2 linked regions of the Oryzias latipes genome follow. The protein of the gene in region 1 binds, or shares a complex with, the protein of each later gene. Links are inferred from orthologs where the notes say so. Each region holds a gene or a part of one and is shown on either strand. Other genes may lie near its edges.

Region 1 (4,085 bases):
ACCCTGAACCTGCGCAAACAACAAGAAGAAATAAAATGGTTCTGTCGAGGCATTCGGTCGTCCTGTCCACTAAATGAAGACTGAGTTCTTGAGAACACAACCTTGACATAATGGTTTAGCAGTTTCTGCGCTGCCTCTCTGGCTTCTGTACACAAAATTGTGACAGGAGTTACAGGACTGTGGTGCTGAAAAAAAGGGAGACGAGAAAAAGAGATGAGTATTTTCCCTACACAAAACATCAACCATATTTTTTCCAGAGTATTTGCATCAAAGCAGTTTTAAAACCTGCACAAGGAACTGTTCGTCTGTAAGAGTCAGTATGTAGGAGATGGTAGAGGTTTCAAAATCCAAGCAGAGACGGGACAGAAGGAGGAGGAGCGCTGGGGGAGTGGAACCTCCTTTGTCACCTGCACTCTCACAAAACTGACGAGAGGACTGACACACAAACTTGATGAAGTTCACCACCAGACTCTCACGCACCCCCTGGCTGCAGAACTCCCCCTGGATGGAGGAACAGGAAATTACTGTTAATATATGAGAAAAGCGTAATGAAAAAACTTAAACTATACTTTATATTCCACTTTGAACATAAAATGATTACCTTGAAGTATGGTTTGTTTGAGAATGTGATGTCTTTAGCTGTGAATAGATGCACTGAAGCCAATACAGATTTAATCTGGTTGAGAATAGATGCCGACAGGATAGACAGCAGCTCCGGCAGACTGTTTGGAGCATCTCTGCTGGTGGCTCCTCCCCCTAGATGAGGCCCACCCCCTGACCCTGTCCCTCCGGCCACAGATAGGCGAGGCGCCGCCAGAGCCTGCCTCACATCCGTCAGACTGTCCATGTAGAAACTCTGCAGGGCAGCCAGGTACTGCTTCACCCGCTCCGTCGCTGCTCGGATCACGATTTCTGTGCCCTGGTTTGGGACGGTGGAGTTCGGCAGCAGTTTGGAAACAGCCTGGAGCCTGCGGTGGAAGCGGTCGAGTGCACGGACCAAGAGGGAGTTATCGCTGACTCCTTTCTCCTCTTGTATCCTCCTTTCCACCAGCGAGAAATACTGAGCAGCCAGATCGTCCACAAACACGTGCAGCTTCCGGTTTGCCATCTGAGGGATATTCTTGGATGCCAGTTCACCTGTCTGAGCGTGGTTGATGAACAATTCTTGATAGGAGGCAATAACTAAACACAAGCTGCTCACAAACTCATTGCAGCCTCGGTCTATAAACTCCAAGATGTCAGTGTTTGGAGTGGGAGAGGGAAGGGAGCTGGTTTTAGGGGAGGAGTCAGTCGGTGATCCTGCTGAAGACCTGCGTGCAGAAGCATCTTTCACAGCAGTGGGGTATGGTCGTATCTCCGCTTCCAGGCCCTGCAGGTCAGCCTCGAGTCGAGACCGAGCATGGCTCAGGAATTTGTCACAAAGTTCTTCTGCAGGCTCGTCCAATTGAAGGAGCAGCTCCACACACTCGGACAAATCCTTGGCACTCGTCCCTCCATCCCTGGAAAACAATCAAAAAACGAAGAAAATGCTGAAATGTTGGTGAAAAGGTTTTTTTTTTTTCATGTTTCTTAAAGATCAACTCTGATCATCTTTTTATCTATATTAAAAATGTTCTCAGGGTTTTTTAATTACGATTATAACGTTTTTAGCAGAAACTTTAAAAAACCTTTGTCGATTTCTAGGACATAGTTCCTGCAGAGCAGCAAATCTAGCCACAGGGGTTGCAAGCCAGTTGCCTCTGTGCCGGTCCCAAGCCCGGATAAATAGAGAGGGTTGCGTCAGGAAGGGCATCCGGCGTAAAAATTGCCAAAATAACCATGCGAATCATCCACAACACTTTAGACATACCGGATCGGTCGAGGCCCGGGTTAACAACGACCGCCACCGATGCTGTTAACCTACAGGGTGTCGGTGGAAATTTGACTACTGTTGGTCGAAGAAAGAGGGGAGGCAGAAGGGTCCGTGGCCAGAGAGAGAAGGGAAAAGGCAGGAACATAGGTTTGAGAATAGGGACTCTTAACGTTGGCACAATGACAGGGAAAGGCAGAGAGCTGGCAGACATGATGGAGAGAAGGAAGGTAGATGTACTGTGTGTGCAGGAGACAAGGTGGAAGGGCAGCAAGGCACGTAGTATTGGAGGAGGATACAAACTGTTCTATCATGGTGTTGATAGGAAGAGAAACGGGGTAGGAGTGATCCTGAAGGGGGAGTTTGTAAACAGTGTTCTAGAGGTGAAAAGAGTCTCAGACAGGATGATGAGCCTAAAGTTAGAAATTGAAGGGGTGATGGTGAATGTAGTAGTGGGTATGCGCCACAGGTTGGCTGTGAGTTAGAAGTGAAGGAGAGATTCTGGAGTGAGCTGGATGAGGTCATAGAAAGTTTCCCCAGAGGAGAGAGAGTTGTTATTGGAGCAGACTTTAATGGGCATGTTGGTGAGGGCAACAGAGGTGATGAGGAGGTGATGGGCAGGTTTGGTGTGAAGGAAAGGAATCTGGAGGGACAGATGGTGGTGGACTTTGCAAAGAGGATAGAAATGGCTATAGTCAACACTTACTTCCAGAAGAGAGAGGAACATAGAGTGACATACAGAAGTGGAGGTAGGAGTACCCAGGTGGACTACATCCTATGTAGACGAGGTCATTTGAGAGAGATTAATGACTGCAAAGTGGTGGTAGGAGAGAGTGTAGCCAGACAGCACCGCATGGTGGTGTGTAAGATGACTCTGGAGGTCAGGAAGAAAAAGAGAGGGAAAACAGAAAAGAAGACCAAGTGGTGGAAGCTACAGAATGAAGAAACTTGTGAGAAATTTAGGCAGAAGTTGAGGCAGGTCCTGGGTGGTCAGGATGAGCTTCCAGATGACTGGGAAACTACAGCAGAGATTATCAGGGAAACAGGTAGGAAGGTGCTAGGTGTGTCATCTGGAAAGAGGAAAGACGGTAAAGAGACTTGGTGGTGGAATGAGGAAGTACAGGAATGCGTCCAGAGGAAGAGGTTGGCTAAAAGGAAGTGGGATGTAGAAAGGACTGAGGAAGATAGACAGGAGTACAAGGAAGCGCAGCGTAGAGTGAAGAGAGAGGTGGCAAAGGCCAAACAGAAAGCTTACGATGAGCTATATGACAGGTTAGACACAAAGGAAGGAGAGAAGGACTTGTACAGGCTAGCCAGACAGAGAGACAGAGATGGGAAGGACGTGCAACAGATAAGGGTGATTAAGGACAGAGATGGAAAGGTGCTAACAACCCAGGAGAGTGTACAGAAAAGATGGAAGGAGTATTTTGAGGAGCTGATGAACGTGGAAAATGACAGGGAAAGAAGGGAGGAAGATGTGGTTGTTGTGGAGCAGGAAGTAGCAGAGATTGGAAAGGATGAGGTTAGGAAGGCTCTGAAAAGGATGAAGAGCGGAAAGGCCGTTGGTCCTGATGACCTACCTGTGGAGGTATGGAAGTGCTTAGGAGAGACAGCAGTGGAATTTCTAACGAGGTTGTTCAATAGGATTTTAAAGAGTGAGAAGATGCCTGAGGAATGGAGGAGAAGCGTTCTGGTTCCGATCTTTAAGAACAAGGGTGACACGCAGAACTGCAGCAACTATAGAGGAATAAAGTTGATGAGCCACACAATGAAGCTGTGGGAAAGAGTAGTGGAAGCCGGGCTTAGGAAGAAGGTGGAGATTTGTGAGCAGCAGTATGGTTTCATGCCCCGTAAGAGCACCACTGATGCCATTTTTGCTTTGAGAATGTTGATGGAAAAGTACAGAGAAGGTCAGAAGGAGCTGCATTGTGTGTTCGTAGATTTAGAGAAGGCGTATGACAGGGTGCCGAGGGAGGAGCTGTGGTACTGTATGAGGTCGTCTGGAGTGGCAGAGAAGTATGTCAGAGTAGTTCAGGACATGTATGAGAGTAGTATGACGGTGGTGAGATGTCCTGTAGGTCAGACAGAGGAGTTCAAGGTGGAGGTGGGACTACACCAAGGATCAGCTTTGAGTCCTTTTTTGTTTGCTATGCTGATGGACAGGCTGACAGACGAGGTAAGACAGGAATCTCCCTGGACAATGATGTTTGCGGATGACATTGTAATTTGCAGTGAG
Region 2 (4,605 bases), on another chromosome or scaffold:
AAATCTGGTATTACAGATGGCTTTGTGTGTTTTTGATTGGTTTCAATATCTTATAAACATAGATCAGAATAAAGACGGAGTGTCGATCGAACTTTTTGTAACCGGTAACATTTAATTTTTTGTCTTTTTAGGGAAAACTTAAATAGGAAATCTAAGTTTATATATACATTTTTAATCCATTGCAGTATGAAAGGTTTAATCCATTAAAATGAAAAGATGAAGCCAGTAAATGTTTCACAAAGGTTTTATTTATGGAAATGTTCTGTACAGTTTTCCTGATTATCTGTCTTCCAGACATTAAGGAGAGTCAGAACATTGCTCTCCTGCATAACCAGATCACTGCCTGTGACTCCATACTGGAGGTAAGAAAAGATCTCAGACCTGCTGCTGTCTTTGAGAAAACTGCTCCCGGACACTCGATGCAAGCTTTGGTTTAGCTTAACAAACTGGATATGTGTGAGAAGAAGATTATGAATGCAAAAAAAAAACAACATTTCTTTTGCTTCTCAAATGTTCCAGGTAGATATATTAATAGGAACAATTAAACAACAACTATAGTTGTGGCTTCTAGAAATGAGTAAAGGACAGAAAGATTCACTCATTCATTTGTAAATCTATTTAAGGTACATCTACACACAGTTTTATTCATAATTATGGTTATTTATTTTAACCATTTTATACTTTTTTATTTTAATCTTAGCTCTCTAATGAAGAAAGAAACCTATCCAAACTCTGACATAGAAGTAAATTTGACAAATTATAGGTTTTAACTCTAAAGCTGAATGCCAATTTTTTTGGGGGGGGTTATAGTTCAATATTTTTTATACTTTTTGAGACAATTCAAAGTGCTTTACATAGAATAAAAGAAACTTTGTAAGCATTCAGATGAAACGTTAAAATGAACAACCTTATACTCTCAGGATGTTGGAAATTATCTTGAAAACTGCCTCATCCTGTTTCAACAACAAAGTAAGTACGATTCCAAACTAAAGCAGATGTCTCTCCGCCTTCTTTCAGCGCATGGAGGGCATGCTGAGTGGCTTCCAGAGCGACCTGTCGTCCATCAGCAGCGAGATCCAGACCCTGCAGCAGCAGTCTGTCAGCATGAACATCCGGCTGAAGAACAGGCAGGCCGTCCGCAGCCACCTCAGCCAGCTGGTGGACGAGCTGGTGGTGCCCGGAGCCATGATCTCGTACGTCTGAACCGCCAAAATACCTACACACGCAGTCACGCACTGCAAACCATTAAGACACATTTACACTGCATGGTCCAAGTGACCCAATTCCGATTTTTTTTTCCTCTCATGTGGCACAGATCGGATATGACCGGTGACCGTGTAAGCAGGAAAACGCCTCATTCATATGTGGAAATAAATCGGATACGAATCGGATACGTGCATTTGCGTGTGCCATGTAAGCAGACAAATCAGATATTCCCCAGTAAATGCGAGTCGGACGTCAGTGACATCAACTCAGGACACCACCAACTGAGATCACATGACTTATTAAGGTGCTTTTGTGCGCTGATGTTGCTGTTCGAGGACAGCTGGAGCCCCATCAGCCTGTTACCTTTCAGCCTCAGGCTTCAGACAGTAGTCGGAAACCGCTGTTATTTTCCGTCCGGTCCCGGTCGGGACGCAAACGGTAACTAATGAAGCGGGACACCGTTGCTCTGGAACAGGCTAGAAGCCGTTTATTTCTTTGCTTGGATCAAACTGTTAGTTCAGCACAACGTCTGCAAACACTTCCTGATTCAAAACTCAGTGAGAGCATCTAAAAGCCGGCCGAGCAGCCCTCCTTTTTCCTCTCCCGCGCCGTATCCCCTCTCCCGCCTCATCCAGGAGCGCCCAAGGCAACGCCTCCTTCCGTCGCTGCGTTGCCTCCATGACAACCGCAGTCACACAAAAGTCCGAAGGAGGTCCGCGGAAGGCGGAAATGCTGCTACGTAGTCCTCAGAACGTCTACGTTTGATAGTTTCAGCATTGTATAGTGTAAATGCAAAAATCGGATACGGGTCACTTTTAAAAGGTGATGTAATCGGGCCGTCAAAAAAATCGGATATAGTCAGAAAATCGGATTTGGGCATCAAGACCTGCAGTGTAAATGCAGCCTTAGACACATTTTACCACTAAAAACCAGAGTCATTCTTAGTGGAATTCTCCTGCCACAAAAATGACCTTCCTAACCTCTGCGTGTTTGTTTTTTACTGCATAAATGTAGAGTGTGTGGTTGTAAATCCTCATGTGGAAAAAGTGAAGGACTGACGCCTTGTTCTGTCACAGCACCATCCTGGACAGTCCAGTGACCGAGCAGGAGTTTTTGGAGCAGCTCCACGAGCTCAACAGCAAAATCAACTTTGCAAAGGAGCTGAGCTTCAGAGAGACTCTGGCCTGCTCAGACATCCAGGACATCGTCGACCGGCTCAAGATCAAGGTGAGAAGCAGAGGCGCAGATAAAGATCTGTGAGGGTTTTTTTTTTTATTCATTCTGCAGAAAAATTATGGGTTAAAGTCTGGAAAAACGATCAGAAAGAGTTGTAGACAGAGGCCATTCCTGACGCTTTGACAGTTAAATGAGATAGAACTTTAAAAAGTTAAGTCCTAAGTCTCTTTTTGCCAGAAAAAAAGTAGAAACACAACATAGTCTCTTTGCAAATCAACTTTTCTGTTGTTGGCTGACATCTAATAATGCCACATGTTAGGTTCTTTGTACCCAAACTGCAACGTGATGAATTTAAACGGTTTTAATATTCTGTGGATCTCCTCTTTAGGCAGTTTCAAAGATCAGAGAGTTCATTCTGCAGAAGATTTACTCCTTCAGGAAACCGATGACAAACTACCAGATTCCACAGAACACCTTGTTAAAATACAGGTGAGGACGTCCTTAAAGGATGACACATAAAGTTTCAGAGTTTCCTCATTTATTGCCATGTTTTTACACTAAAGTCCCTGTTGTTGGAAAATGGATTTCCGATCTTTCTGACTTTTACACTTTCTTCCTGTAGATTTTTCTATCAGTTTCTTCTGGCCAATGAGAGAACGGTAGCAAAGGAGGTCAGAGATGAGTACGTGGACACCATGAGCAAAATCTACTACAGTTACTTCAAGTCATACAGCGGCAGGCTGTTGAAAGTGCAGGTCAGTGGAACAAATCTTTATAAAAAACACAACAATCTGTGTTTGATCTAATTGTTGTCGTGGATGCTGCAGTATGAAGAAGTGGCAGATAAAGACGACCTGATGGGAGTGGAAGATACAGCCAAGAAAGATATCCTTTTCTCTCTGACCTTGTGGGAATCCTTCAGTGAATCCTTCAGTGCTTTTGTTTTCCTGCGCTTCTCCTTAACGCCCAGCTGCACGATTTTTCTCCAAACCGTCCCTGAAGAGTCGGAATACCATCTTCACTGTGGGCCAGCGGGGGGCCATACTGAGCCCCGCTGAGCTGGAGGGGCCCATCTTGGTTCCACACACAGCTCAGAGAGGAGACAGCAGGGTGAGAGAGAGAAAGAAAGAATTTGAACGGGTCTCATTAAATTTAAGCTTTCTTTTTAATAAAGATGTGACACATATATATCTGAAGGAAAGGTTTCATGCTGAGCACAACACAAATCTGTCAATCGTCAGGCTTATACTTTTTTTTTAACAGATTTCTTTTAAAATAACTAGGATTGATTTTAAAGTTTCTTTTATTTGTTTACAAATGTTTTCGAGGTCCTCTTAGTAATTCCTTAAAGTTAGAACCAAACCTTCATTCATGGCCGACCCCACCTGTGGATCTCTTTGTACTCTTTAACCATTTTTTAAAATCATGTCTCTGGATTTTGTGACTATCTTTTTTTACTTTTACAATAAGGTCTAGTTATTGCTTTATTAGTTTTGTGATGTACTTTTGTGTTTTTGGTTTTAGCTCCAGAGCTCCTCCACACGGCGACTAACCCAGGGGTCACCTCAGCGCCGCGGGTCGGGTTTCAGGGCGTATCCCACGGTGATGATCTCTGTGATCATGACTGGGTTGGTCGCTGACGTGGACGGATCCCCAAAATAGAATTTCCTCACTTCCACTTTGGTTTCTATTTCTATTAATGCTCCTAAGTTTTATTTTATATTTGGGAGATTTTATTTGTTTTAAGTCTGATACTTTTGTAGCACTTTATAAATAAAGTTTGGTTTGTCTTTTTTTGTTTTTAAAGAAACAAACCTTTGCATCAAAAGGTTTTCTGTTATAAAAAAGGTCGTCCTTATATAACCCTTTTTAAATTTAGTTCTTTCTGTGTCCGCCAGTATCCCTATGAGACGCTGTTTCGCAGCCAGCACTACGCTCTGCTGGACAACGGCTGCAGAGAATTCCTCTTCCTGTGCGACTTCTTCATGGTCGCTGGAAACTCCGCCCTCGACCTGTTCAACAGCATCATGGGGAAAACTCTCAGCATGTTTCTGGTAGAGTAACCCTAGAGTCCTCATGGCAAGAGGCAAGAGGAGTCCCACATGACATAAAAGGTTCCCTCTGCCTCCTCCTGTAGAAAAGCATGTCCACCTACGTGTCGGACTGCTACGACAGCATCGCCATCTTCCTCTGCATCCACATCATCCTCCGGTTCCGCGCCAT

What was found. The genes of interacting proteins can lie anywhere in the genome.
Region 2: vps51 (region 1) and vps52 share a complex: the UniProt entries of both Homo sapiens proteins name them as parts of the endosome-associated retrograde protein (EARP) complex. The link is inferred for Oryzias latipes from reciprocal best matches to the Homo sapiens genes VPS51 and VPS52.

The regions. Positions count from the first base shown.
Region 1 is NC_019872.2:19,784,764-19,788,848, forward strand, and holds part of vps51 (vacuolar protein sorting-associated protein 51 homolog), read right to left. Parts: intron 1,500-4,085; coding exon 602-1,499; intron 502-601; coding exon 286-501; intron 186-285; coding exon 102-185; intron 10-101; coding exon 1-9. UniProt on the Homo sapiens protein: Acts as a component of the GARP complex that is involved in retrograde transport from early and late endosomes to the trans-Golgi network (TGN).
Region 2 is NC_019869.2:3,222,710-3,227,314, reverse strand, and holds part of vps52 (vacuolar protein sorting-associated protein 52 homolog), read left to right. Parts: intron 1-294; coding exon 295-362; intron 363-1,017; coding exon 1,018-1,193; intron 1,194-2,282; coding exon 2,283-2,433; intron 2,434-2,770; coding exon 2,771-2,871; intron 2,872-3,004; coding exon 3,005-3,137; intron 3,138-3,209; coding exon 3,210-3,267; intron 3,268-3,358; coding exon 3,359-3,492; intron 3,493-4,280; coding exon 4,281-4,436; intron 4,437-4,519; coding exon 4,520-4,605. UniProt on the Homo sapiens protein: Acts as a component of the GARP complex that is involved in retrograde transport from early and late endosomes to the trans-Golgi network (TGN).